Linked DNA regions of Oryctolagus cuniculus. The protein of the gene in region 3 purifies or fractionates together with the protein of the main gene of each other region. This does not show direct contact. Links are inferred from orthologs where the notes say so. Each region holds a gene or a part of one and is shown on either strand. Other genes may lie near its edges.

What was found.
Region 1: the proteins of CDC37 (region 3) and CDK9 purify together in Homo sapiens (affinity purification with mass spectrometry; 9 studies listed by BioGRID and IntAct, counting the BioPlex papers as one, with this or other methods). This does not show direct contact. The link is inferred for Oryctolagus cuniculus from reciprocal best matches to the Homo sapiens genes CDC37 and CDK9.
Region 2: the proteins of CDC37 (region 3) and FER purify together in Homo sapiens (affinity purification with mass spectrometry; 3 studies listed by BioGRID and IntAct, with this or other methods). This does not show direct contact. The link is inferred for Oryctolagus cuniculus from reciprocal best matches to the Homo sapiens genes CDC37 and FER.
Region 4: the proteins of CDC37 (region 3) and CDK6 purify together in Homo sapiens (affinity purification with western blotting; 5 studies listed by BioGRID and IntAct, with this or other methods). This does not show direct contact. The link is inferred for Oryctolagus cuniculus from reciprocal best matches to the Homo sapiens genes CDC37 and CDK6.
Region 5: the proteins of CDC37 (region 3) and AURKB purify together in Homo sapiens (affinity purification with mass spectrometry; 7 studies listed by BioGRID and IntAct, counting the BioPlex papers as one, with this or other methods). This does not show direct contact. The link is inferred for Oryctolagus cuniculus from reciprocal best matches to the Homo sapiens genes CDC37 and AURKB.
Region 6: the proteins of CDC37 (region 3) and DNAJB1 purify together in Homo sapiens (affinity purification with mass spectrometry; 3 studies listed by BioGRID and IntAct, with this or other methods). This does not show direct contact. The link is inferred for Oryctolagus cuniculus from reciprocal best matches to the Homo sapiens genes CDC37 and DNAJB1.
Region 7: the proteins of CDC37 (region 3) and DDX17 purify together in Homo sapiens (affinity purification with mass spectrometry; 3 studies listed by BioGRID and IntAct, with this or other methods). This does not show direct contact. The link is inferred for Oryctolagus cuniculus from reciprocal best matches to the Homo sapiens genes CDC37 and DDX17.

Annotation. Positions count from the first base shown.
Region 1 is NC_091432.1:231,217,751-231,221,985, reverse strand, and holds the start of CDK9 (cyclin-dependent kinase 9), read right to left. Parts: upstream 2,892-4,235; 5' UTR 2,608-2,891; coding exon 2,159-2,607; intron 1,729-2,158; coding exon 1,647-1,728; intron 624-1,646; coding exon 533-623; intron 438-532; coding exon 271-437; intron 1-270. UniProt on the Homo sapiens protein: Protein kinase involved in the regulation of transcription.
Region 2 is NC_091445.1:31,372,973-31,377,368, forward strand, and holds the start of FER (tyrosine-protein kinase Fer), read left to right. Parts: upstream 1-1,536; 5' UTR 1,537-1,655; intron 1,656-4,396. UniProt on the Homo sapiens protein: Tyrosine-protein kinase that acts downstream of cell surface receptors for growth factors and plays a role in the regulation of the actin cytoskeleton, microtubule assembly, lamellipodia formation, cell adhesion, cell migration and chemotaxis.
Region 3 is NC_091447.1:67,013,857-67,018,233, forward strand, and holds the start of CDC37 (hsp90 co-chaperone Cdc37), read left to right. Parts: upstream 1-1,516; 5' UTR 1,517-1,615; coding exon 1,616-1,717; intron 1,718-4,377. UniProt on the Homo sapiens protein: Co-chaperone that binds to numerous kinases and promotes their interaction with the Hsp90 complex, resulting in stabilization and promotion of their activity. Inhibits HSP90AA1 ATPase activity.
Region 4 is NC_091447.1:43,060,716-43,064,360, forward strand, and holds part of CDK6 (cyclin-dependent kinase 6), read left to right. Parts: intron 1-2,426; coding exon 2,427-2,594; intron 2,595-3,645. UniProt on the Homo sapiens protein: Serine/threonine-protein kinase involved in the control of the cell cycle and differentiation; promotes G1/S transition. Phosphorylates pRB/RB1 and NPM1.
Region 5 is NC_091448.1:52,686,541-52,688,723, forward strand, and holds the end of AURKB (aurora kinase B), read right to left. Parts: intron 2,132-2,183; coding exon 1,983-2,131; intron 1,222-1,982; coding exon 1,047-1,221; intron 918-1,046; coding exon 744-917; 3' UTR 605-743; downstream 1-604. UniProt on the Homo sapiens protein: Serine/threonine-protein kinase component of the chromosomal passenger complex (CPC), a complex that acts as a key regulator of mitosis.
Region 6 is NC_091447.1:63,136,966-63,141,380, reverse strand, and holds DNAJB1 (dnaJ homolog subfamily B member 1), read left to right. Parts: upstream 1-1,554; 5' UTR 1,555-1,662; coding exon 1,663-1,873; intron 1,874-2,505; coding exon 2,506-3,086; intron 3,087-3,191; coding exon 3,192-3,422; 3' UTR 3,423-4,335; downstream 4,336-4,415. UniProt on the Homo sapiens protein: Interacts with HSP70 and can stimulate its ATPase activity. Stimulates the association between HSC70 and HIP. Negatively regulates heat shock-induced HSF1 transcriptional activity during the attenuation and recovery phase period of the heat shock response.
Region 7 is NC_091442.1:115,134,280-115,137,924, forward strand, and holds part of DDX17 (probable ATP-dependent RNA helicase DDX17), read right to left. Parts: intron 2,625-3,645; coding exon 2,514-2,624; intron 2,303-2,513; coding exon 2,241-2,302; intron 1,583-2,240; coding exon 1,523-1,582; intron 1-1,522. UniProt on the Homo sapiens protein: As an RNA helicase, unwinds RNA and alters RNA structures through ATP binding and hydrolysis.

The DNA.
Region 1 (4,235 bases), on a different chromosome or scaffold from region 3:
CCCCGCCCACCTTGTCCCTGTGGCTGTAGTAGAGGGCGCTCAGCGGCCCCGCCCCGCCCCCTCCCGCCCCCGCCCCGCCCACCTTGTTCCTGTGGATGTAGTAGAGGGCGCTCAGCGGCCCCCCCGGCCCCGCCCCCGGCCCCCCCGCGGCCCCGCCCCTCCCCCGCCCCGCCCACCTTGTTCCTGTGGATGTAGTAGAGGGCGCTCAGCGGCCCCCCCGGCCCCGCCCCCGGCCCCCCCGCGGCCCCGCCCCTCCCCCGCCCCGCCCACCTTGTTCCTGTGGATGTAGTAGAGCCCGTTGAGCAGCATCTGCATCACCCTCTTGATCTCAGACAGCGTGAACTTGACCAAGACGTTGCTGAGCAGCCCCGCGAGGTCGTGCTCGCAGAAGTCGAACACCAGGTAGATGCTGCCCTTGCAGCGGTTATAGGGAGAGGCTGAGGGAGAGAGGGGTCAGGACACCCCCGCCCCCCCGCGCCCGCTCAGGCCGGCCGGCCGAGCAGGCAGGGCCCTGGCCCCCGGCCGCCCGCACCTTTGGTCCGGCAGATCTCGATCAGGTTCACCACGTTCTCGTGCTTCAGCAGCTGCAGGATCTTGATCTCCCGCAGGGCCGTGATGGGGAACTGGGGGAGGGGAGGGGAGGGGGGCCGTGAGCAGGGGGGCCGTGATGGGGAACTGGGGGAGGGGAGGGGAGGGGGGCCGTGAGCAGGGGGGCCGTGATGGGGAACTGGGGGAGGGGAGGGGGGCGTGAGCAGGGGGGCCGTGATGGGGAACTGGGGGAGGGGAGCCGTGAGCAGGGGGGCCGTGATGGGGAACTGGGGGAGGGGAGGGGGGCCGTGAGCAGGGGGGCCGTGATGGGGAACTGGGGGAGGGGAGGGGAGCCGTGAGCAGGGGGGCCGTGATGGGGAACTGGGGGAGGGGAGGGAGGGGAGGGGAGCCGTGAGCAGGGGGGGCCGTGATGGGGAACTGGGGGGGAGGGGAACCATGAGCAGGGGGGGCATGATGGGGAACGGGGGGGGGGGAGCCGTGAGCAGAGGGCCCATGGCAGGGCTGTGATGGGGAACGGGGGGGGAGGAGCGGTGAGCAGGGGGGCCGTGATGGGGAACTGGGGGGACGGGGGCAGGGGGACCGTGAGTGGGGGGTGGGCGCCATGGCTGGAGCACAGGGGTGAGAGCAGCGGGCCCATCTCAGGAGCCGGTCTGAGCCCAGGACCGGGGACAGCCATCGGCGGAAACACCTCACAGTGTCGAGCTGCGAGGCCCGGCGGCGAGCAGGGTGGGGGCTGCCTGGGGGGGCAGCGCTGTCAGCCGCCCGCCCCGCGTCAAAATCCCTTTGAAGAACCACGTGCGCGTTTTCCCTTCCAATTAAACAAGATGGAAACTCAGAGGCTGAAAGGCTTCCGAACGCTCTGCGCGGACGCCAGGGCAGGCGTGAGCTCCCCACCGGCCCAGCCGCCGTTCCAGGAGAGAACCAGGCTGAGCCCGGGCCAGATGCCTCGCAGCATTTCCGAGGCCACCACAAACTCGATCTCAGCCCGGGACTGCCCGGGGACGCACGGAGCCCGGCGCGGGGCAGCGCGCAGCCCGGCCGCCCGGGGACGCACGGAGCCCAGCGCGGGGCAGCCCGGCCGCCAGGCCCGTACTCACCCCCTCCTTCTCGTTCTCCATCAGCACTTTCTTCAGAGCCACCTTCTGGCCAGTCTGGCGGTGCTTGGCCTTAAACACCTCCCTGCAGGCCGACAGGGAGACCCTAGAGCTCACCCGCCGGGTTCCGCAGCGCCCGCCCGCCCCTCCCCCGCGACAGGAGGGGCGGCTCCGGGTGGGGCCGGGGCCCGGGCCGCGCGAGCCGCGCCCCTGCCGCCCGGCACCTGCAGGCTCCCTCCGGGCCCCGGCGTGCACCCCCCGGCCCCTTCTCTCCCCGGAGGCTCGCGGAACATCGCTGCGCTCACAGGCCCCGCTCTGCAGCCCCTCCTAGCGCCCCCCCAACACCGGCCTCAAGCTCCTCCCCGCCCGCCGGCGCCGCGCGGCCTAGCGAGACCAGGGCACAAGCCGAGGAGTCGGCGGCCGCCCGACCTCCTCTGGCCGGGCCCCGGACGTCCCGACGTCGGCCCCGAGGGGTGCAGGCCCAGAGCTCCCGGCCCCTTGGGGCCTAGCCTTACCCAAAGGTGCCTTGGCCGATCTTAGCCAGCTTCTCGTATTTGGTCACTTCATCGCAAAACGGACACTCCACCGAGTCGTACTGCTTTGCCATGGCCGCTTCCAGCGCGCCGCCGCCGCCGCCGCCGCCGCCCCCCGCCGCAGCCGCCGCCGCTCCCGCCCCGGGCCCTGCAGCCGCGCTCCAGGCCCCTCCGCGGCCGCGCCACTTCCGCTTCCACGGCCACTTCCGGCCTCGCGGCGCCGACCCCGCCTCTTCCGCCCGCCGCCCGCCGCCAGGCCCCCTGGGACTTGTAGTTCCCGGGAGGCCAGGGGGAGCCGGAGCTGCAGAGGCGCCGCCGCCGCCGCCGCTGCCCCCGCCGCCGCCGCCGCCCGTGCTGGCGGCTGCCCCGATCGGGGGCGCCGGGAGCCGGGGCGCTGGGGCTGGGGCTCGGGGCGGTGCGTCCCGCTGCATCGGCCCAGGCCGCCGCTGCTGCCGAAGCTGCTGCAGCCGCTCGGGCGCCCGATCCGGGGCCAGCCGCAGTGCCCTGCTCCTCCTCCTCCGACGGCGCCGCCTCCGCCGGGCTGCGCTGGGCGGCGGGCGAGGGGGGGCCGCCCCCGAGCCGCGGCCTGGGGGCTCCCTGGCCGGGGCTCGGGCCCGGGGCTGCCGGGCGAGGGGGCGAGACGCGGAGAGCCGACAAGGAGGCGGCCGGAGAGCCCAGGAGGGGGCGCGTTATGAAGGGGGAGGCGCCCCGGCCTCGCCCTCCCCTCCCCCTCTGCCCGCCCCCTCCCTCCGCCCACCCTCCGCGGCCGCACCTGCCGCCGCCGCCGCCGCCGCCGCCGCCTGCCCGCCCGCCCGCTCGCTGTCGGCCGGCCGCCCTCGGCGCGTCACCGCCCGCGGCCCCTCCTCTGTCTTCGGAGGTGGGGCCCCGCGCTCCACACCTGGCTGCGGGGCGCCCTGCCGCGTGCCTCAGTTTACCCCCACTGCCGGCTGCCGCGCGGGGCCCCCGCCTCCTCGGCTCCGAGCGCTCCCCCAAAGGCGGAGGCAAGAGGCGCCCAGGGAGCGAGAACCACCCCCGCCGCCGCCGCCGCCGCCGCCCCCGGCCCCGGCCGCCCGCCGTTGACATGGCAACCGACAGCCGCCAGGGGGCGCGGCGACACTGGCGGCGGCTTCGAGCCAGGCCCGGTCCTCTGGAGCCTCGCCCCCCACCCCACCCCCGTTCTCCGGGAGGAAGGGTCGAGACCCCGACGAGCTGCGCCGGAGCTGAGGGACCTGGGGTCGGTACTCGCAAAAGCACCTAACGTGTATGTCTGCTCAGGGAGTGCTGGCCATTCCTGCCGAATCCTGAGTGCACGGCGACCCATTTTACAGAGGAGGACGTTGAGGCCCGGGGTGTTAGCCCTTGTCACCAAGTGACAGAGCTGGGGTCCGGACCCATCCTCCTGAACCTGAAGCCTTCTAACCCACGCCACTGCAGGCCTGCTGTCCCGGCACAGGCACCAAGCCCGCCATCCACCTGGCGCCCCTCCTGTCCCCGCCCCTGCCCGCATCCCACCCACTCTCTCTCCCTCTGTCTCCCTCTCCTCTCTCTCTCCCTCTCTCCCTCTCTCTCCCTCCCTCCCTCTCTTCCTCTCTTCCTCTCCCTCCCTCTCTTCCTCTCTCCCTCTCCCTCCCTCTCTCCCTCTCTCCCTCTCCCTCTCTCCCTCTCTCTCCCTCCCTCCCTCTCTCTCTCTCCCTCCCTCCCTCTCTCCCTCTCCCTCTCTCCTTCCCTGTTTCCCTCTCTCCTCCCTCTCTTCTCTCTCTCTCTCTCCTTCTTTCTCTCTCCCTCTCTTTCCCTCTCCTTCTTTCTCTCTCCTCTCTCTCTCTTTCCCTCTCTCCCTCTCCCTATTTCCCTCTCTCCTTCTCCCTCTCTCCTTCTCTCTCTTTCTCTCTCTCTCTCCCCTCAGGCCCCAGGAGCTCTGCCCAACGAGCAGCCCCCAGCAGAACTGGCTTTTGTGCCTCAGCTGCTCCCCTTGTCCCCTCCCCTCCCCCTCTGCCCTCTGCGTGGCTCCTGAGCTCCCCAGGCTGGCCTGCCTGCCTGCCTGCCTGCTGTCTCCCTCCCA
Region 2 (4,396 bases), on a different chromosome or scaffold from region 3:
CTTCCCATCTCCTTATCAGAACACAAACACATCGGCCTGCGATGGCATCGTGGGCGGCAGAACACGTTGCAGGTCTTCCTCAAGCTCCATCTTGCTTGACATCAAGGCAGATCGCTGTTTCATGAATTCCTGCTTCATCATGAAAGACAGAACAAATTCACACTCCAGGAGGGTGGCAAGTCTAGCTTCCTTCCAAAACTAGCACTGTGACCTTGGACGAGCTCTTCACCTCGCCCTGTCCATTTGTACATGGGGATCACAATGGTGCCTATTCTTCACAAAGTCATCCGGAGAATTCAATGAAGGAAGGAGGCTTGGCCTCTGGCATGCACTCCAAGAATGCTAACCACGGCTTCTCCTCCCGCCTCTGCACGGCACAGGTGGTAATCACGTGGCTCTGCTGAGCCTCTTCGGGTTCCTCCCAGTTGCTGGGCTGCTAAACAAGGAACCCAAGCAGGATAGGAGGCGGAGGCGGGACACCCAAAGCTGTAACTCTGACGTTTCTCGAGGGTTTAAAGTGGAAGAATAAAGGTTTTTCTAAAGCATTTCATAGTGTCTCAAGGCCAGGAGAGCCAATGAGGACGTGGAGTACAATTCTGGATGGGTAAACTGTTACAGGACTAAATGTCTAAGCAATTTAAATAATAAAAAAAATCTACTCTTGATGAAATTATGGCACTGTTAACACTGTTTTGTGCTTCAGCCAGCGTGAGACAAGTTTTTGCTTTGTTACTAAACTACACCACCACCAGTTTTACTGAGAAAATGCATTATTTTTTTTTTTAAAGATTTAGTTATTTATTTGAAAGTCAGTTACACAGAGAGGAGAGGCAGAGAGAGAGAGAGAGGTCTTCCATCCGATGGTTCACTCCCCAGATGACTGCAACAGCCAGAGCTGTGCCTATCTGAAGCCAGGAGCCAGGAGCTTCTTCCAAATCTCCCACGCAGGTGCAGGGGCCCAAGCACTTGGGCCATCTTCTACTGCATTCCCAGGCCATAGCAGAGAGCTGGATGGGAAGAGTAGCAGCTAGGTCTCGAACCGGCAGCCATATGGTGCTTCAGGCCAGAGCATGAACTTGCTGCGCCACAGCGCCAGCCCCAGAAAATGTATTACTGCTCAAAGTTAGATTTAGATGCACATTGGCTCGCTGTACTGGCAAAACTGTAATCTAGGCCTAAGTACAAGGCCTTGCCTCCCCCGGTGGGAACCAGTGAAATAACAGTACGGTAGGACGCTGTGTTGCTGGTGGTGAATTAACACTCCACATCCATTTCTAAACCCTTGTCTATGTTTTCATTCCACGGAAGAGCCTACTTGTCTCCAGGCCTCTCACGGCTAAGACTCGGTGAGACTGCTCCAGCGATGAGAAACAGGAAGTCAGTGGGGCCGCCTCCTTCCTCAGAGCTACTATCTCGTTCACTGGTGCTTGTGGCCAGACTCAGCATTCCAGTTGTCTGGTTATCAGCGTTATCATAATCTAGAGCCTCTGGCCCGGATGCAGCAGTCAAGTGACTGGGCACCAGCTGAAGAACAGAGGCACTTAAAGGGCTCAAGCAGTGGAAGCCGCAGCAGTTTGCTGACCTCTGGGTCATGTGGTGTGCCCTTGAACCTGACATCCAGTAGCAGGCCCCTATCTTCTGCATCCTACAATTTTGTAAGTACCCAGTTTCCTGCTTTAAATCCCTTTCTGTCTGAATTATCTAGAATGGGTTCTGTTTCCTACTAAGAATCATACTGTGTGGATGTCAAGAAAAATGAAGATTTATATGAATTTTGGGACAAAATTCAGATATAAAATTAACATCAAAATGAAAAGAGAATAGTATGTATTCTTTCATTGGTATAAGGACACAGCCATTTACATGTTTGATTGTTTATACATACACAAATTGAAGGTCACATATGAAAATACAGTCAGTAATCGCTTCTGGGAAAGCAAAAATGGGGTCTGGGATAGAAAAGTTTTATATTTCATTTATAGACCCCTTAAATTGTTGACTTTTTTTTTACCATGCTCATGAAATACATTTTTTCAATTAAAATTTCTTTAGTTGCAAGAAAACAGCACACTTCTGTAACAAATTGAAAATAGAAGATATCCATCAAACCACCAATCTAAGATATCATTTGCATTTTTATATATCCTTTCTAAACCTTTGTTGATTCTTACAGTGGAATATGTAGGCATCACCTTATAGTCTGCTTATTGTTCTGATGACCTATAACTGACCTGACCTTTAGAACATGCTTATCATGTGCCAGGAATATCATTCTTTGAATGATATTCCATTGAAATTAAGATGTTTTTGATTTTAAGAGGCATCATTAGCTTGTGTCTCATTAAGAAAGAACTTGAGAAAAAAAAAAACCCTGCCTACTAAACTATAACACAAACAACATGATGATTTTTTTTCCAACTGAACCACGTATCTCTGGAAGTGAAGCAATTCTGTCTCCAGTCAACAGGAGGTTTCTGACACTTTGGTGCCTGACACCTGAGTGATGGTTCTGCACAAGGCTTGCATTGGTCATATCAGCCTCTCATTGCTTTTGTCTACTACAAGCTGTTTCAGCTTCTCTTGACATTGGCTGCTGTATGATAAGCTTGTGTCTTAGTCACAGCTTCCTCTCTGTGGTTGCTTCACATGAACATGTAGAATTGCAGTCTCTCCTGCAAAGATAAATGCTTGCCTTGCCAAATATCGAACTTAAGACCTCCTGCTCTATTTCTGTGCTTTTATCCATACAGAATAACTTTTGTTTCCATGGTGGATCATAATAAAGTTGTTAAGGCATTTTAAAATGACAAATTCAAATTATGTAGTAATTTATGTACTAATACAATGTATGTGAGAACCACATGAACAGTGATGGTCAGATATATATACATATATATACACATATATACACATACATACACATATGCATATATACACATATATATCCCTTTCTATAAGAAACCATCAATTTTAAGTAATAGTACAGTATCAGAGAAGTTAAAATGTGGAAATGGGATGAGAGTTTGGTGCAACACTTAGGACTTTGAGAGCTTGTTTGGAGGTTCTGGCAGGGGAGTGCAGCTACTTGTAAACCCTTGACTGAAGACCGGTCCTCCTTTAGCGGGTAAGGTCGTCCTCTTTGACCAAGGGCGCAACTTCAGGAGAGACGCACATGGAGCAGTGAGGGAGGAAGGGGACAGTCGCCTAGCCAGCCAGATCAGCCGAATCAACCCTGGTGATCAATGGGGTGACAGATGTTGCAGCCAGATCGCCCTCACATCCAGCAGTTAGGACTTTGTATGGGACAGCGGCATCACATATGGAGATTCCTGGGTTCGAATCCTGGCTCCACTTGCCATTCCAGCTTCCTGTTAATATATACCTTGGGAGGCAGCAGATGATGTCTTAAGTGCTTGAATTCCTGCCACGCTTGTTGGAGACTTGGATTAAATTCCTGGCTCCCAACTTCAGCCTGGCCTAGCCTTGCCTCTTGCCATCATTTGAGGAGTGAATCATCAGTTAGAAGATCTTTCTCTGTCTCTCTGCCTTTCAAATTAATATATTATATATATGTATATGTATATATATATATACACCAACATACATATATATGGGAAAACATGTTCCTTAGAATAGATGAAATACAAGTATAGTATTAGCCATTTGAACCTCAAATAACCTTTAACTCCATTTTATTATTCCTTAGATAAGAAAATCAAGAAGCAAAGAGATTATCAAGGTGCATAGTTACTAAAAAAGCAGGTCTTTTAAAATGCATTCAGTTTCTAGTGCCTACAGTAAGCTTAACTATTAAGCTATGCTGTCTCCTTGTTTTGCTAAAACTTTTCCTTTATTACTACATAATAGTCATAATTATAGAAGCTTAATTCCGTCAGAACAAACCAGAATCTAATTAACCATTATCAAACATTAGATATTATATTGGTTCCAATTTTTCTGTTGTAAATTTTACAGCAATTAACATAACAACACATATGGCTTTTCAGAACCCAAAGGGATGTATTTTAATTTTTTAGTTCAAAAACAGTACTCATTCTAGAGAATCTGGAAAATACATAAATCTTAAATGTGCAAACAAGACTATGATAATGTCATTACATTACTAACATGTTGATGAGTTCCTCTTGAATTTTTGCCATACATCTCTTCATACAGTTGAGATTATAATGGAAATGCCTTCCTCTATCCTACTTTATTCACTTGGAATATTAGTTTCTTGCAGCTGCTATAACAATTAGCACAAACTGTGAGTCGTCAAACTACAGAAATGGATTGTCGCAAAATTCTAGAGGCCAGAGAATGAAATCATGGTGTGGGCAAGGCCATCATAACCGCTCTGGAAGATCCAAGGGAGAACTCACTGCTTTGCATGTTC
Region 3 (4,377 bases):
CCCACCCCCTGCCCACCGCAGCTTGCAGCCCAGAGCTTACCTTGGAAGGGGGCTGGGGAAGGGACGCCCCGCCCTCTCCGGCGGGGGGAGGGGGCGGGAAGGGACTGGGGTGCCCAGACCCTTTGTTTGCTGGTGTGTGAGTGTGAGTGTGAGTGTGTGCGCGCGGCGGTGAGACCCGCCGGGGTGTGAGTCCGTGCGCGCGCGTGCTCGGGCCGTGACGGCCACGGAGGAGCTGGACTGGCGGCTGGAGGGGGGGAGGGGGAAGCGACGGGGACTCCCCCGCCCCCGCCCGCCCACTCGCGGGTTTGAATGAAAAGCGAGGGGGAGGGGCGGCGGAGGGAGGGCGCTTTTGGTCCCGATGGCCACTCCCCCTCCCCAACGGGCCGGGGAATCCCTCCCCACCCCCACCCCCATGGAGCGATTTTTATTCTCTCCAGGGACCCCCCACTATCTACAGAGGCTCTGCGAGGAACTGGGGAGAGGCGTCCCAGACACAGGTGGCCGGAGCTCCTCCAACTCCACTTGACCCTCGCGGAGCACCCCTTAATCTGAGATAATCCTGGCCCGAGGCTGCAACACGGCCTTTTATCCCTGCATCCGAGAGTGGGTGGAGCCGTGGAGCAGCGCGCGGCCCAGCTGCCCCGAGCTCGGGGCAGTGGCATCCTGAAGCCGTTCTGGCCGAGGGGAGGGGTCCCAGCCGAACGGGGAGGGGCGACGAGCAGCCCCAGACCCGGACGACGAGGAAAGCCCCCTACCGCCCCTCCCCAGTCCCCTACTGGGCCGGAGGCCAGCAGCACTGGCCACTAGCTGGACATTTGGCGACACCCAGCGGCCGTGCGTGGGGACGCCACGCAGGGCGCCCGAAAACCTTTTGGGTGATTCCAGAGGGGGGGTGTGCGCGCAAGTCGTCTCTCACGAGTGGCGGGCACCGGGGGCTGTGTGTGGTCCCAGCGCGGGAAACCCTGCCCTACCGTCGACCCCCTCCCCTCCCCGCCACGTAGGACAGGATCTTACCGCCGCTCGCTTAGACCCCTCCACCACGGCAGGGTCTCGACCCCCCCTACTCGAACTGGGGAGTCCCCTCGGGTCTCGTGCCCCTCCCTAGCCCGGAATCCAGTCCCCCACCTTCAGGGGAGCTGGGTGGGGGTGGGGGTGGGTCTTCGAGTCGAGGCCCCGCCCCTGCGGTGGCCTCGGGCTGATGTCACTGCGGCTTGGCCAACGGGACAATCCAGCCCCTCAGTCTCGTCAACTGCCCCAGCGCAAACGCCCCCCGGGGAGGGGGCGGCAGGAGATGAGAGGCGCTCCTGGCTGCCGCGCTGCCCTGTAGGCCCCCCAGGAGGTGCCGGGCAGAGTCTCCCTGCCCAACGAGGCGGGGTCTCGGCGGGAACTCCCTGGCCCCTAACACGTGCGCAGGTCCCTTTAAGGCGGGCTTGGTCGCCAGGGCCGCCGCCGCCGTTACCAGGGATGTGACGTCACGCGCGGGCGGGGGCTGCGCGCGCGGGCGGAAGCGGAAGGGGCGGGGCTCCGCGGGCCGAGTGTCCAGCGCTGCCGCCGCCGCCGCCGCCGCCGCCGCCGCCGCCGCTCGAGCGGGCGCGGGCTGGGCCGTGGAGGCAAGATGGTGGACTACAGCGTGTGGGACCACATCGAAGTGTCCGACGATGAGGACGAGACGCACCCCAACATCGACACGGCCAGCCTCTTCCGCTGGAGGCACCAGGTAGAGCGCGCGTGCCCGGCCCCTGCCCCCTTTCCCGGGACCGCTCCAGAGTTCTGACCGCGGGTACTGCCCAGGGGACCCCGCGGTTGTTGACGCCCGGGATTCCAACCTCACGGTTTGGAGTTTCCCGCCCCTCGATTCCACGCCGGGGCTCGGGGAGCGCTGGGACCCCCACCCCCACCCACCCCCAGTCCCTGCGCGCGACCCCTGGGGCCGCCTTCGGATTCTGCACGGGTCTCTATTAACCCTTGAGACGCCCTCGGTCTGTGTATTCCCAGGGCCACCGGGGGGGGGGGTCCCTCGCCTGTAGGAACCTCTGCCGGCATCTGAGGACACCCCACCCCGCCTCACCCCTGCCCCCAGCCTCATCAACCCTGGGACGGGCAGGTGGTCCCTGCTGGCAACTCAGGGACCCCATGGTCACCACCCCCTCTTTGACGTATTTGCCCACGACAGAGCCCCCAGAGCCAGACCCCAGAATCCTAGCCGTGAGCAGCCCGTGGCTTCCCACCCATCCTCCCGCCCGGAGGTGCTCACCCCGCAGCTCGCACGGAGCGCGCACCTCCCAGAAGCTTCCAGTAGGAATTCCCGTCCCGGGCCTCCCTTCTGGCAGACCTGTATCCAGAAAGCCCTAGAAGGGCCCTGCCCCATCCTTCCGGGATGTGGCCTGGGGCCTGCTTCTGCCTCCCGGGCCCACCCCCAAACCTTTCCTTAAAGCGGCCGTCTCCTGGGGCGTGCACCTGCTGTGCGGGAGTGTGGGAAGAAAGTTCCAGCCCTTCTAGTTCTATTTATTATGAAATATTTAAGACCTCCGCAAGGCTCCCCAGACTATTTCTGTCGCGTAAAGAGGTTAATCTTTACTCTGGCGTGGAGAGCGGGGTGGGGGCCGCCCCATTTCCTGGCCGGCTGCTGTGGAGGAGGGGCGGGGTGCCCGCCCAGCCCCCAGCCCCCTCTCCAGTTTGCGAGGTGGGGGGAGGTTTGTGATCTCTCTGAGCGCTGCAAAGCTGAGCTAACGCGGCGCCCGCTTCTGGAAAGATCCTGGTGCAGAGACTGGGATGGAAAAGTTAGAGGTGGCCTGGTGGCTGCCACTCTGGGTTCCCGGAGAGGTGGGCGTTTGCCCGCCGCCCTGGGCTCTGCACCCACTGCCGGCTCCGGTTCCCACTGCCCTTCCCACTGCCCCGGGAGGCAGCAGGGACGCCTCAGGGCCCTGGGCCCCCGCCACCCACGTGGCGGACTTGCTTTGAGTTCCTGGCTCCCGGCTTCAGCCTGGCCCAGCCCCAGCCCTTGTGGGCATTTGACGTGATGATGGACTAGCAGCTGGGAACTCTGTCTCTGCCTCTGAACTTTAAAAGATGGAGGCCGGCGCCGCGGCTCACTAGGCTAATCATCCGCTTGCTGCGCCGGTACCCCAGGTTCTAGTCCCGGTCGTGGCGCCGGATTTTGTCCCGGTTGCCCCTCTTCCAGGCCAGCTCTCTGCTGTGGCCCGGGAGTGCAGTGGAGGATGGCCCAAGTGCTTGGGCCCTGCACCCACATGGGAGACCAAGAGAAGCACCTGGCTCCTGGTTTCGGATCAGCGCGGTGCGCTGGCCGCAGTGGCCATTGGGGGATGAACCAACGGCAAAGGAAGACCTTTCTCTCTGTCTCTCTCTCACTGTCCACTCTGCCTGTCAAAAAAAAAAAAAAAAGAAAAAGAAAAGTGATATTGCTTATTTTGTTGCCAAAAATTTGTAACCAGGAATAGTCCTTTCGAGGCACTGGTTTTCTGTGAACTTTTTGAATCCAACTTATATGCCTGAATTTCAGACTTTTTGCACCCCGCTAAAGTTGCCTTTTGAAAGATTTATTTACTTTGCTGAGCCAATTTTTTGGTGAAGACTTATTTAATTTTAAAGATTATCCATTTCTTCTTTTAAGTTTTTTAATTTAAGATTTAGTTTATTTGAAAGGCAGAGTTACAGAAGGAAAAGGAGAGATGGAGCCGGTTTGCTCCACAAATGGCTGCAAGAGCCAGGGCTGGGCTGATCTGAAGCCAGGAGCCAGGAGCTTCCTCCAGGTCTCCCACGCGGGTGCAGGGGCCCAAGGGCTTGGGCCATCTTGCACTGCTCTCCCAGGCCACAGCAGAGAGCTGGATCAGAGTGGAGCAGCCGGGACTCGAACTGGTACCCATAAAGGTGCTGGCGCTTCAGGCCAGGGCTTTAACCACAGCACCAGCCCCAAAAGTTATCTTTTATAATGTCATTTCTCCATGAAATTTTTTTTAAAGATTTTATTTATTTATTTGACAGGTAGAGTTACAGACAGTAAGACAGAGAGAAAGGTCTTCCATCCGTTGGTTCAACCGCCAAACGGCCACAATGGCCGGAGCTGCACCGATCCGAAGCCAGGAGCCATGTGCCCCCTCCTGGTCTCCCGTGCGGGTGCAGGACCCAAGCACTTGGGCCATCCTCCATGAATTTTTGAAGCAGCATTCCAGGCGTGGCCAGTTGGGTTGGATTCAGCTCCTGGATTATTGGCACGCCAGCCAGCCGCTCGCTAGCTCTGGATCCAAGCGTATGCCCGGGACCCAACCCGTGGGGGTCGATGCCAGGGTTTCCTGATTTATGGATTTTTAAAGACGTGTTTATTGGAAAGGCAGAGTTGACAGAGGAGGAGAGAGTCCA
Region 4 (3,645 bases), about 24 Mb from region 3:
TCCAGCTCTCTGCTATGGCCTGGGAAAGCAGTAGAGGATGGCTCAAGTGCTTGGGCCCCTGTACCCATGTGTGGGAGACCCGAGACCCGGAAAAAGCTCCTGGCTCCTGGCTTTGGATTGATGCAGCTCCAACCATTACAGCAATTTGAAGAATGAACCAGCAGATGGAAGACCTCTCTCTCTATCTCATTCTCTCTGCCTCCTCCTTTCTCTGTATAAGTCTGACTTTCAAATAAATCTTTTTTAAAAATGATTATGGCATATCCCAGGGAAGAAAATCGTACAGCCATTAAAAATCACATGGCGTAAAAAACATTCCATGGGAGAATTTCGTTGAAGAGCAAAATATTCACAATGAATTTAAAAGCGACACAAAATAATGATAAAGAATAATAACAATTTTTATTAAAATATTTAAACATATACATATAATACATGTAATCTTTTTAAGACAGAGTAGAAAAAAAATTGTTATTTAACATGAAGTTTGTGTTCTGAGCAGTGGGATTTTGAATGATTTTTCTTTTTACTCTAGATTTCCAAAAACTTAAGAACTTCTGTATTAAACATGTATATACATGTTTATCAATTTTACAACTAAGAAGGCAGTATGTGCTTATATAAATACACAAATAACAATGTACACATGTTCTTATTTTACACTGTAGTTAGGGCTTTTTATAAATTTTGATGGACCTTTTTATTAATTAATTAGTTCGGGTTTTTAAAGTTTTTTACTTCTAATTGGTTGCTTCCATTCTCTGAATACTGCAGCATGAACCAGGCAGGTGTATTCTCCATTCTGTTTTAAATGGGTGATGCTTTGTGTATAGGAAGCTAAAGATGAAGAGCCAGCGTGACATTACTTTAGGTTAGTCATGCTGCTTAAAACCAGCGCTTACAAGTTGTGCGCATGTGGTTCCAATAAAGACGCGTTTGCCGCCGCAGAAGAGCACTTTCTTTAGAGTGCCGGGCTTCATTTTCACACACTGTGTGTTCACTGCAGGTCGTTTCACTCGCAGTGGGGCTCGAGTCTCCAGGGCCGTCCCTCCCCAGAGTGGTTTCCTCCACAGCTTTTACCTTTGGAAACTGACAAACCAGGCCCTCCCAGTTCAGAGTATCCAGTAAAGAGGACCTCCTGGGTCACTGCTCGCTCCCTCCTAGTACTCGGTTCACACTGACCTTCCCTCTCCCCCAGCAATAATTACCATCTGTTGAAAAGTTTGTGCCGGAAATGCATCCCCATTTTGCATACATTACTTCCATTTAAACGTGGCGTTCTGGAAAGCAAACGATATTTTTACCATTTTACAGATGGAAAAATTAAGGCTTTGATTTTGAACAAGTGAGGAGGTGAAGACAGAACTCCCAGCTCTAAAGGAGGAACCCAAGCCGTAAAACCACACACGAAGGCATTGTTCTTCCCTGAGGGCCATCCCAGCCCCTTCCGGTTCAGAACTCCATGATTCTGCCTTTTTGTTTTTTCTAGCCTTCATGGGAACAGAATAGTTCCTCCTCCCTTTTACACACTGTTTAGATAATTATCAACCCCAGATTTCAGAGGATCATGGTATCGTGGCTAATGTCTTAAGTTCCTACTTTGACATACCGATTCTGAGTTTTAAATCTTGTATCTAATTTTATTAGTCGTAAAATTTAGATCTAGTATTGGTATATTTTCTGAATGTCCCTGCCCACTGCACTGGTTAGTAATGATAGCAGTCATCTGTCACGTATTGAATGCTTACTGCTGTGCTAAACACCTCACACCCATTAATCTGAAGAAGTAAGTTTTGTTACTTTGCCCTTTTACGAATGGGAAAACAGATGAAAAGGTTTGCCTCATTTTACATGTTTGGACGAATTAACCTGTTCTGCTTTTGTGTATGTTTCTTGACTTGTAAAATGGAAGTAATGGTGTTACTTACCTCACTATTGTGGTATGGTTTAAGTGAGTTACTACACAGAAGCTGTTTCGAATAGTGCTTGGCACATAGTGACTGCTTAGTATCAAGCACTCTTGTTATTATAGTTACCACAGGTTAAGTTACCATTCACTGGATTTTGGTTGCTGAACTAAATGTGAAACAGTAGGGTCCCCTCTCACCACCTCCTGCTGCCCCTCCCCAGCGTTAACACAGACACCGAGTTAGCATGGGTCCTTCCAGAATGTTTCCTCTGCTATCTAGAACTATTCTTAATTGTCCATTCATTAATAAAATGTAGGTCAAGAGCTAAGTTTTTTGTAGTGTTCTTGAGACTGGAAGAGGGGAGAGGTGGGGAGGGAGACAGATTCATTTGCTAATATTTACCGACTGCCTACTGTATGCCCAGCACTCAGCAAGGTGCTGAGAATTCAATGTCAGATATGGCACAGGCTAGATTTCCAACTCGAACATTCATCTTCTCATTTGGTTTTCCTCTAGGATATGATGTTTCAGCTCCTGCGAGGTCTGGACTTTCTTCATTCTCACCGAGTAGTGCATCGCGATCTAAAACCACAGAACATTCTGGTGACCAGCAGTGGACAAATAAAACTGGCTGACTTCGGCCTTGCGCGCATCTACAGTTTTCAGATGGCTCTTACTTCAGTGGTGAGTGAGCACGCCATCCTTTCCTTAAACTCACGTTTCCCTTTGAGTGACAAGCAGCTCCCCTCCTGTGCCCCTAATGTTATTGCCCGTGGTTGGCTGGTTGGTGAACAGAATGTCTTTGCACTTTTTTATATAGCAGTGAGTGGGAAGAAGGCATTCAGCTTCCAGCTACAGACACATCCGGACTGAGCTTGTGGACAGGCCCCATTGCAGAAATAGCTGTTGCATCTTAGCCACTAGAAAGGAATCGGTTACAAGTTTCCAAATGCTTTTTGCCATAACCACTGTTTTCAGAACAGTGTCTGTAATGCCTGAGGAACGCATGGCTCAAGGGCAGGGCAGGGGGAACACCAGGAGCATGAACCTGTCTGTGGGATCCTGGTGCAAGAACCTGCTCAAGGGCCTACACAGATGTGTTACAGCCTTGCTCTGAAGCTTTGATGCCAACCATGAAGGAAAACTTAAATTTACGGTGAACTTGGATGACCCCCTAAACACATAGCACCACCCTGCTGGGTGAAGCTTTCTTCCAAGACAGAACAGAAACAGGGCCAAGGGCCCAGTTTTGGCAAAGAATGATAGTTATGATATCCTGTTCTTTGTCTCATAATAGCTGTTGACTTCAGTAAGCTTCTGTTTCTCCTTATAGTTTATTGTTTCTGAGATGAATTTTTATGCTGTGCTGCACCCAAACTATCAAAAAAGCAACCTAGAAACAGGTGTGAATAACCCTTCTTGGCGAAAGACCTGTTCTACGTGTGGTGCACGCATGCATGGCTCCAAAGAGCCAAAGAAGGTCCCTTTGCCAGGCTGGGTCCCTTTTTTCAGGTAGGAGGTTGATGCAAAAAATCCCTTTGATGTGATGACAGCTACAGAAACGTAGCCCTGGAAGATGTTAAATTAGGCGTGAAGAGAAAGAACCCATAGAAGCCAGCTCTGGCGTTGAAGTGGTCCTCAAATCTGAGGGAGCACTGCCTCAGATGGGGGCCCTTGTTGAGGAAAAGGTCTCTATGGTCATCACAGTGACTTGGGGGATGGGGTGGCTGCCACT
Region 5 (2,183 bases), on a different chromosome or scaffold from region 3:
CATGGGAGACAGACACTGCTGGCTGCAGCCTGGCCCAGCCCTGGTCGCTGTGGCCATCTGGGGAGTGAGCCAGCAGATGGAAGATCTTCTCTCTCTCTCTGTACTCTTTCAAAAATATTTTTTAAAAATCTTAAAAAAAATATCCATCAAGGCCAGCAAGCATCATACGTAACAGTGAGACCTAACATCAGTAACAAGACCCCATCACTGCTCGTCCGTCCCCTCCCCTTCCATCTTGGCCAGAGGAGTAAAACGAACAACTTCTAGGGCATAGCCACGTTCAGTCACTCCTAGGTCGGTGGGCAAAGGGGAACAGAATAACCAGGAGAGAGAAAAACCAGAGGTCAGACAATCGACTGGCGGGAGAGGTGGGTGGTGTTTGAGCACAGTGAGGGCATCTGAGGTCTCCCAACACCCCCAGGCTCTGGGGCTCTGAGTCTGAGCAGGGGAAAGAAATGGCCGGGGGGGTGACGGTGGCTGGGATCTGGGAGGGCGAGCTCTTACCGGGGGAAGTGACCCAGTATCCCTTGCACCAGCTGGGGCAGGCAACCTCTCCTACCCACAGGGAACCGTCGCCTCCACCCAGAGACATCTACACTCAATGTACAAAAGCCTCGGCTTTTATTAAAAAGGAGGTAGAAGACAGATAAGGGAACAGGCCAGACTCCCTCCTTCCCCCTACACACACAAACACACACACACACACACACACACACACAACACTGAGTGAATGACAGGGTCCATCAGGCGACAGACTGCATGGCCGAGGGAGGCAGCACCCGGCGAGAGTGGGCCCGGACCCAAGGGTGGGCTGAGACCTGGGCCAAGGTCAGCCGATCGGAGGGGTTGTGCCTGAGCAGCTTGGAGATAAGGTCCTGGGCCCCCGCGGGCACAGAGGCGGGGAACTTCAGGTCCACCTGCAGGAGGGGAGAAAGGAGCAGAAACCGCCTGTGTTCCACCCCAGTGGCCACAAAGACCCGCGCGTCCAACCCTGCCCTCCCCAGCCCCTGGCCTCTGCAGCCTGGAGCGCCGGCAGCGTGACCCACCTTGACGATGCGCCGGTATGTCTCGTTGTGTGATGCGCTCTCAAAGGGCGGGTTCCCCACCAGCAGCTCGTAGCAGAGCACCCCGATGCACCACAAGTCCACCTTCTCATTGTGCGTGCGCCCCTCAATCATCTCGGGGGGCAGGTAGTCTAGGGTGCCACACATCGTCTTCCTCCTGTGGGATGAAGGGCATGCCAGGGGTCCTGGGACCAGGCAACCATGCTCATCCACCCTCTCCCCCCCAGGCAGCCAAGAGACCCTGGGAGGCAGCAGGGGAGTGCTCCATCCAGGTCACGCCTCTGGGGATGGGGTGGGCCGGTGGCCTCCACATTGCCCCCCAGTACTTCCACTGGGGGACTAAAACAGATAAGGCAGGAGGGCAGTGCTGACGTGGGGAAGAAACCCTGGAGGCCTCTCTCATGCCCGCCAAGCGGGTTCTGCTTAAGTAGCTCGGGGTGCTTCTCCACTGGCATTAGAAATGAAGGGTGGGCCGGCGCCGCGGCTCACTAGGCTTATCCTCCGCCTGTGACGCCGGCACATCCGGGTTCTAGTCCCGGTCGGGGTGCCAGATTCTGTCCCGGTTGCCCCTCTTCCAGGCTAGCTCTCTGCTGTGGCCAGGGAGTACAGTGGAGGATGGCCCAAGTGCTTGGGCCCTGCACCCCATGGGAGACCAGAAGTACTGGGCTCCTGGCTTCGGATCAGCGCGGTGCACCGGCTGCAGCGTGCCGGCCGCGGCGGCCATTGGAGGGTGAACCAACGGCAAAGGAAGACCTTTCTCTCTGTCTCTCACTGTCCACCCTGCCCGTAAAAAAAAAAAAAAAAAAAAAAAAAAGAAGGGTGGGAAGCACCTGGGGTCAGAACTATGCGTCTCCTACTTTCCTACCGGGATTGCCCAGAGGTGCCGCCTGCCAGGGCCGGCTTCCCAGCGCCACGTACCGCAGGGAGGGCGCGTGCACAGACCAGCCGAAATCCGCGATCTTCAGCTCCCCCTGCAGCCCCAGGAGCAGGTTCTCCGGCTTGATGTCCCTGTGAATCACTTTCTTCTCGTGGCAGTAGCGCAGGGCATCTGCCAGCTCCTCCATGATCTGGGAGGGCGGGGACAGGCAGTCAGACAAGGACAGCCCCGCGGCCACAGGC
Region 6 (4,415 bases), about 3.9 Mb from region 3:
TGGGCCCCTGCACCCTTGTGGGAGGGAGACCCAGAAGAAGCTCTTGGATCCTGGCTTCAGCCTGGCCTGGTGCTAGCTGTTGCGGCCAACTGGGGAGTGAACCAGCAGATGGAAAACCTCTCTCTCTCTCTTTCTCTCTCTCAGACTCTCCCCCTCTCTCTATGATTCGTGACTTTGAAATAGATAGGTGAATCTTTTTTAAAAATTTATTTATTTATTTGAAAGACAGTTACAGAGAGGTAGAAATGGAGAGATATTCCATCTGCTGATTCACTCCCCAAATGGCTGCAATGGCCAGAGCTGCACTGATCCAAAGCCAGGAGCCAAGAGCTTCTTCCAGGTCTCCCACATGAGTGCAGGAGCCCAAGGACTTGGGCCATCTTCCACTGCTTTCCCAGGCCATAGCAGAGAGAGGGATCAGAAGAGGAGCATTCAGGACTAGAACCGGTGCCCATATGGGGTGCTGGTGCCACAGGCCAGGGCTTCAACCCGCTGCACCACAACGCTGGCCCCCAGATACATAAATCTTAAAAAAAAAAAAAAAAAAAAAGATGCCAACCAGAGCTCCTGCATCCCACATGGGAGCGTCTGGGCTCACTCGTGGTTCCTCTGCTGCCCTTCCAGTTCCGTGCTAATGAGCATCCTGGGACACAACAGGTGATGCTTGGGTCCCTGCCAACCACGTGGGAGACCTGGATGGAGTCCCTGGCTCCAGGCTTTGGCTTGGCCCAACCTTGGCTATCGCAGGCATTTAAGGAGTGAACCATTGAATGAAAGTTCTCTCTCTCTCTCTCTCTCTCTCTCTCTCTCTGTGCTTTTCAAATAAAATGAAATCAATAAAAAAAAATTTTTAAAGCCAGAAACCAGGTCTGTTGAGGAGCCAAATACCGGGACTGTTTAGGAACAGGCAGAACCCGGTTCTGGTCCTGGTCGCCAGCCCAGGCTGGGAGGGAGGGAAGCCAAGGAAAAGGGAATTTCAAGTTTATCGGCAAGTTCAGCGGCAAGGGTGACACCAGGGGCAGGAAGGGCAGGACCCTCTCCAGGGGAGTGGACGTGGCTCGCACTGTCCCCTCCCCGCTGGCTGAGGAGGGCGTGCCACTCTTGCACTTGTGCTAAACAGCACCAAGCCTGCCGAACTTTGCACGACCCAGCCTGCGAGACGGGAGGCCAGGTTTATATCTGCTGGGAACAGGGGCGGGGCCACCTCGAGGGGCGGGGCTTTGTCTCGCCCCGCCCCTTCCCGGAGCTCCGCGTTCCGCTGCGGTAACCTGTGGACCCGGCAACGGACAGGGCTCGCAGCCTGCCAGATCCTAGAAGACAGTGAGCGGGAAGTCGTGATTGGTTCTCCCCGAGGGGGTGGGCGGGCCCTCCGCCTGCCCAGTGCCCTCGCCGCGGGGAGGCGTTGCCGGGAGAGGCGGGGGGGGGGGGTCTGAGAGGGAAGGGGCGTGGCCGCACGCGGGCGGCCGTTGGCAGCCCGGCCCCGCCCCGGATGGGGGCGTCACGGGGCCGAGGCCGCGGCGATTGGCCGGCGCGGCGCGGGGGGCGGGGCGGAAGGTTCTGGAGGGGGCTGGCGGGCTCTGGAAGCTTCCGCCGGACGGGTATATAGAGTCGGGCCGGGCGGCGGCGGCGGAGCCGGGTACGGCGGGGCCGCGGGCGGGCGCCATGGGCAAGGATTACTACCAGACGCTGGGCCTGGCCCGCGGCGCGTCGGACGAGGAGGTGAAGCGGGCCTACCGCCGCCAGGCGCTGCGGTACCACCCGGACAAGAACAAGGAGCCCGGCGCCGAGGAGCGGTTCAAGGAGATCGCCGAGGCCTACGACGTGCTGAGCGACCCGCGCAAGCGCGAGATCTTCGACCGCTACGGGGAGGAGGGTGCGTGCGCGCGGCCGCGGCGCGCGGGGAAACCGAGGCACGCGCGCCGCCGGCCGGGGGTGGGGGGCTGCTGAGAGGGCCCCCGGCGGGCGGAGGAGGAGCCCCGGCTCGCCGCTCGCGCAGAAGCTTCCAGCACGTCCGGGCGGCCCCTCCCTGGGTCTGCACCCGGTGCGGGCCGGGGCGGGGGGCGCGGCGGGGGGCGGCCGGGTCTCGGCCTGCCCAGCTGCCCGTCGGTGACTCACCGGCTTCCGGGCTCGGTCCTGAGCCAGTAGAGTGTGTTTTTTTTTTTTCCGATCATCAGGGCAGCGGCGATTGGTGCTGGGACGGGAGAGCTTCAGAAAGCTTCCGGGGTGTCTTTGGTTGGCCTGCATTTGCCCACGTTCTCTCTGGGCTCAGGGGACGTGGCCGCCGCTCTTCCCCCCTCTCCCCCACCCCGGGTCATGTCTGGGTCTCTTGGTGGATTCTTGGGAGGATCAGCCGGGAGCAGGCAGGGGCCGGGCCTTGGTGGCTGTCACCTGCGGGCCGAGGCCCCCAGTGTCTGCAGCGGCAGGTGCAAGCTTGGGGTCCGGCCCTCGGCGGGCTGAGAGCAATCCCGCCCCGCCCCCTCACGTCCCTGCGTTTTTGCTTCGCAGGCCTGAAGGGCGGCGGCCCCTGCGGGGGCAGCGGCGGCGGGGCCAACGGGACGTCCTTCAGCTACACGTTCCATGGCGACCCGCACGCCATGTTTGCCGAGTTCTTCGGAGGCCGGAACCCCTTTGACACGTTCTTTGGGCAGCGGAACGGGGAAGAGGGCATGGACATCGACGACCCGTTCGCCGGCTTCCCCATGGGCGTGGGCGGCTTCACCAACATGAACTTCGGCCGCTCGCGCCCGGCCCAGGAGCCCACCCGCAAGAAGCAAGACCCGCCCGTCACGCACGACCTCAGGGTCTCCCTGGAAGAGATCTACAGCGGCTGCACCAAGAAGATGAAGATCTCCCACAAGCGGCTGAACCCCGACGGCAAGAGCATCCGGAACGAAGACAAGATCCTGACGATCGAGGTGAAGCGGGGCTGGAAAGAGGGCACCAAGATCACCTTCCCCAAGGAGGGGGACCAGACCTCCAGCAACATCCCCGCCGACATCGTGTTCGTGCTCAAGGACAAGCCACACAACATCTTCAAGAGAGACGGCTCGGACGTCATCTACCCGGCCCGCGTCAGCCTGCGGGAGGTGAGGCCGCGGGGGTGGGGAGCCGTGGGGGTGCGCTGGGGGCGGGCGGGGCTCCCCAGGCTCTCGCGGCTGACCGCTGTCCTACCCCCCCCCACCCCCGCCCAGGCCCTGTGCGGCTGCACGGTGAACGTGCCGACTCTGGACGGCCGCAGCATCCCCGTTGTCTTCAAAGACGTCATCAGGCCCGGCATGCGGCGGAAGGTGCCGGGCGAAGGCCTGCCCCTCCCCAAGACGCCGGAGAAGCGCGGGGACCTCATCATCGAATTTGAGGTGGTCTTCCCCGAAAGGATCCCCCAGACGTCGAGAACCGTCCTGGAGCAGGTTCTGCCCATCTAGCGCCCCCACACACCCACCCACCCACCGCCCCCGCATCATCCGGGCGCCGCCGGCCCCAGGGACCTCGCCAGAGCTCAGCGTCTCCGGCTACCCCGGCACTCGTGGACCGTGAGAGGGCGGGAGGGCCCGGGAGCCTGATCCTGCTCTATGTTTTCCAGAGAATATATTACAATCTTTGAAAGTCGTGCACTCGACTGTGCTGGTTTTTCGGGCGGCGGAGCGGCAGGTGGTGGGCAGAGCAGGACGAGGCCCGCCCCGCCCCACGCTCCTCCAGACACCTCCCCCCCCCCGCACCTGCAGCTGGGTCCTGTGCTTTGTCTCCCCTGCTCCATGCCTCCCCCCACCCCCACCCCCCGGCTCATCCTGGCCATCTCAGGTGGAGAAAGCTAGACTCTGCAGAACTGCCCGGCCGGCGCCCACAAGCAATACCTTCCTCTTTCCAGCGGGACCACGGGAGCCCGGGAGCTCACGGAGACGGGGCCCAGCCGTGCTTTGCCGAGAGCGAGCTCTGGGCAGCTCCGGGTGCCCTTTCTGTTCCATGGACTCTGGACTTTGTTTTGTTTCGTTTCGTTTTGTTTCTCTCTCAAAGGGATCTGATCCTTCGGAATTTTGCACAACCCTGGAGAGATGTATAGAGACATAGCTATAATCCCTTTTGATAAAAGGGTCTTTGCTCCCGATTGCAGGAGCCTGTAAATGTTTTTATAACTCCCCGTCAGGCCGGGGTGCCCCCAGACGGGCCCTGCCCTGCCCCCATGGCCCCGGGCGGAGGCGGGGTCTATTCCCGGGACACCCGTCTGGTGCTCAGCCCCTTGAGACTCATTGTACGTTGCCACTGCCGACATGAGACCAAAGTGTGTGTGACTTGTCGCTGTGCAGGGTGATGGCATTAAAGACTGTATGAGAAACCTCCCGGGAGCGGCCCTCGGCTCGTGTTTGGTTCTGGGCACCGGGTGGGGGGGTGCGGGGGGTGGGAGGTTCCAGCGGGAGGGG
Region 7 (3,645 bases), on a different chromosome or scaffold from region 3:
AAAAAAGAAAAAATCCCAGTGGAAAGGGATTCGTGATTGCCTGTTATAAGTATGACTATCACAGAATCGTGGGAATCAAAGAACTTACCTGAAGGGACATTTAAGAGGCCATCGCTTGACAGGAAGTGAAAAAAGGCCTGGTGACTCAGCTGAAAACTGCGCCCCTGTCTGTGAGGTAGAAGCCTTCACTTTCCAGGATCCTGTAGGACCTTGGTCAGAGTTCTGCCATTGCGGTGGGTTTTCTCCCTCCTTTGATTTTTACAAGGCAGCACACAAAGGGGCCCGAAACAAGCACTGATGATGAGTAACAAGAAACAGACTCGAGGGACCTTCCCTCTCCCTCACTGCGCGAGCGAGGGGTGGGGTGAAGAGTCTAAGTCATTCTAATGGTAGCCAATTGATTTGGTTTCGATATGCAAGGGAACATGGAGCATGTTTTTAATTGTCTAGGCAAGATGCACAAAGAAGCTACCAGCACATAGCAAGCCTGTTTAAAAACCACCATTACTGAAAGCTTGTATAGAAACTGCTTTCAGGCCTCCACCTCCTCTCCCAACAGGCCCAAGTTCTAACGGCACAGATCCAGACATGACCTCAGAGGGCAGAGACAACTTCCCATCATGGCTGCGAGCCACCACCTCTGAAGGAGGGGACGGACATTTCAAGGGATACAAAGGCTTCATCATTTTGTGCCCTGACTTGAATACTGGCTTCTACTCAACAGCATAAGGGAATACAGTACTTCTCACCTTACTGGGCAAGACACTAAATGCCCAACAATTTAAAGATTTCTTGGTCAGAGAAATAATCTCACTTTTTAAATAGAAAAGTTGTGAGTCAGATCTACTGATTATCTTGTAATGATGGGTAACACGCCACAAGCTGTCTGCATAGATCTTAAGCCAGAGTGGGTCTCAAACTTCAAAGAACACTTCATATGAGGCTCAAATTAGGAAACACATCCATGATATGAGAATGGGGGGGAGGAGGGGATACAATGCCCATGAATATTTTAAGGAAAATCGGGCAATAAAGATGTAATTGCTGAATGATATTGTATCATAAATCTATTTAATCTCATTTGGGAACTAGGCCTCTATGTTCAAATCTATTTATCTATCTAGCATTGATAGACTGGTATTGAAAAAAAGTTAACTCAAACTAGCTCGTAATAGCTACCTAGGTTCGATCAGGATCACTGTACCCAGCCAGGAAACAGGAAAACCAGGAAGAAGCTGAGCTGTCCAACTGTGTATCTCCTCTCCCCCTAACTGAATAGTCATGCCTAGGCCTTGCTGCAGACCAAAGCCTGTTTGTTAGGAGCAGGAAGAGACTTTGAAAATGAAAGAAAAAACAAAAACAAGGTTTTAAAAAAAATCGTGGGGGGAAGGGAAAAATCTTGCTTTTAACTCTTTTAAATATTTATCTAAACGTATGTACATACAACTCTAAATTTGAAATGATGAATATTTAAACAAAAAAGGTACATATACCACTGTCAGAGACACCTATCTATACAAACCTAGCCCACGGGAGGCTACATCTGTGGCAATGAGGATGGGAGCCTTTCCAGAACGGAACTCTGTGGGGAGCAAAAAGAAGTTCTGTCAAGGTTAAGTGGCACATCCTAAAATGGCAGATTCTTACATGAGATTGTTAAAAATCCTCATCATTTTTTTAGCAGAGGGACGATAGACCAGGAAGTAACTTCTACTAATAAATGACAATCTATGTCCGTTAGCAACAAAAACCAACGTAAGCCCAAGTATTATTTCCCCTAGAAGTTATGTCCCAAGTGTAGTGTGTTTGTGTCTGGGAAATCTAAAAGATTTCCCACTGCTAATGCTCCAAATGCCTCCAAACGCCAAGGCTGGGTCAGGCTGAGGCCAGCAGCCAGACTCAGGTCGGGTCTCCTAGCTGGGGGCAGCAGCCAGACTCAGGCCAGGTCTCCTAGCGGGGGCAGGGAGCCGCCTACTCGGGCCATCCTCTGCTGCCCTCCAGAGCATCCGTGAGCAGAAGGCTGTAACGCGGCATGGAGCCGGGACTTGAGCCCAGGCGCGCAGATGTGGGGTGCAGCAGCTTCCGCACCACTGTGCCAGACGGCCCGCCCATGAGGTGTTAGCAGATACCCAGCTGTGAGAAACCACTACTCAGCCTGCAGAGACAAAATGTCTACTAGCTGGTCCTCAACAGATTAAGGAAAAAAAAGCCCATGGAAAAATGCTCAGTTCTGGACTTACCATTAAGAACCCAGTCTCTTTCTGGTTGACTCTTGTCCCCATGGATACACATAGCTGGCCACCTATGAAAAGAAAAGTGACCAATGTTTCAGAAGGCTTTAAAATAAACAAAACTAAGCTATATATAAAAAGAAACGCTGCCCATAATTCTGATGAACTCCTAAGACTCCTAGAAACAGCCTTCATCGAAGAGTAAGCCGCACGCCAGCGTTAAGGTGAGACCTCTGCAACACTGACCACAAATCCCCACTCAAAACCCGGTGCTGCACTCACCCATCTCTGCGCATCCTCCGAGTGAGGTCATCACAGCGTCTCTTTGTCTCCACAAATATGATTGTTTTGTTTTCCTTTTCAGCCATGATTTCCTCCATCAGCTGGATCAATCTGAAAGACCAGTGTTACAGCCATTGTGTCAGAAAAGACCTCCCTATATATTATGCAGAAGATACGTCTTCTCCCAAAGTTAAGGAATTGCTTTCTCACTACCCATTTAAAAGGCTCAGTAAACATATGTTGGACACTCACTCAGAACTGCTTTATGTTCCTGAGAAACATCAACTCACACTACTCTCACGGCAAGTCTGAAGTAGGTGGAATCATCTCCATTTCACAGATGGAAGAACTAAAGAGAACGTGAGCCTAAACCTAACATTAAACAGCTGGAAATTAGCAGGACCAGGATTCAAACCCAAGGATCGGCCAGTGCAGCCACTCAATAGGCTAATCCTCCGCCTAGCGGCGCCGGCACACCGGGTTCTAGTCCCGGTTGGGGCACCGGATTCTGTCCTGGTTGCCCCTCTTCCAGGCCAGCTCTCTGCTGTGGCCCGGGAGGGCAGTGGAGGAAGGCCCAGGTGCTTGGGCCCTGCACCCCATGGGAGACCAGGAGAAGCACCTGGCTCCTGGCTTCGGATCAGTGCGGTGCACCGGCCGCAGCGGTCATTGGAGAGTGAACCAATGGTAAAGGAAGACCTTTCTCTCTGTCTCTCTCTCACAAAACCAAAAACCAAAAACCAAGGATCTAGAACTCTGGCCTTTAACCACAGGGCTCTGGTGAATGCTAAACAAGATGGTATTTTAGAAAGCTAGCCAATTGGGGCTGGCGCCACGGTGCAAGTTAACCCTCCGCCTGCGGTACTGGGATCCCATATGGGTGCCTGTTCTAGTCCTGGCTGCTCCTCTTCCAGTCCAGCTCTCTGCTGTGGCCTGGGAAAGCAGAAGATGGCCCAAGTCTTTGGGCCCTTGCACCCACATGGGAGACCTGGAACAATCTCCTGGCTCCTGACTTTGGATCGGTGCAGCTCTGGCCATTGTGGCCATCTGGGGAGTGAACCAGCACCCCGGAGGAAAGAAGACTTTTCTCTCTGTCTCTCCCTCTCATTGTCTGTAACTAGAAAGCTAGCCAATG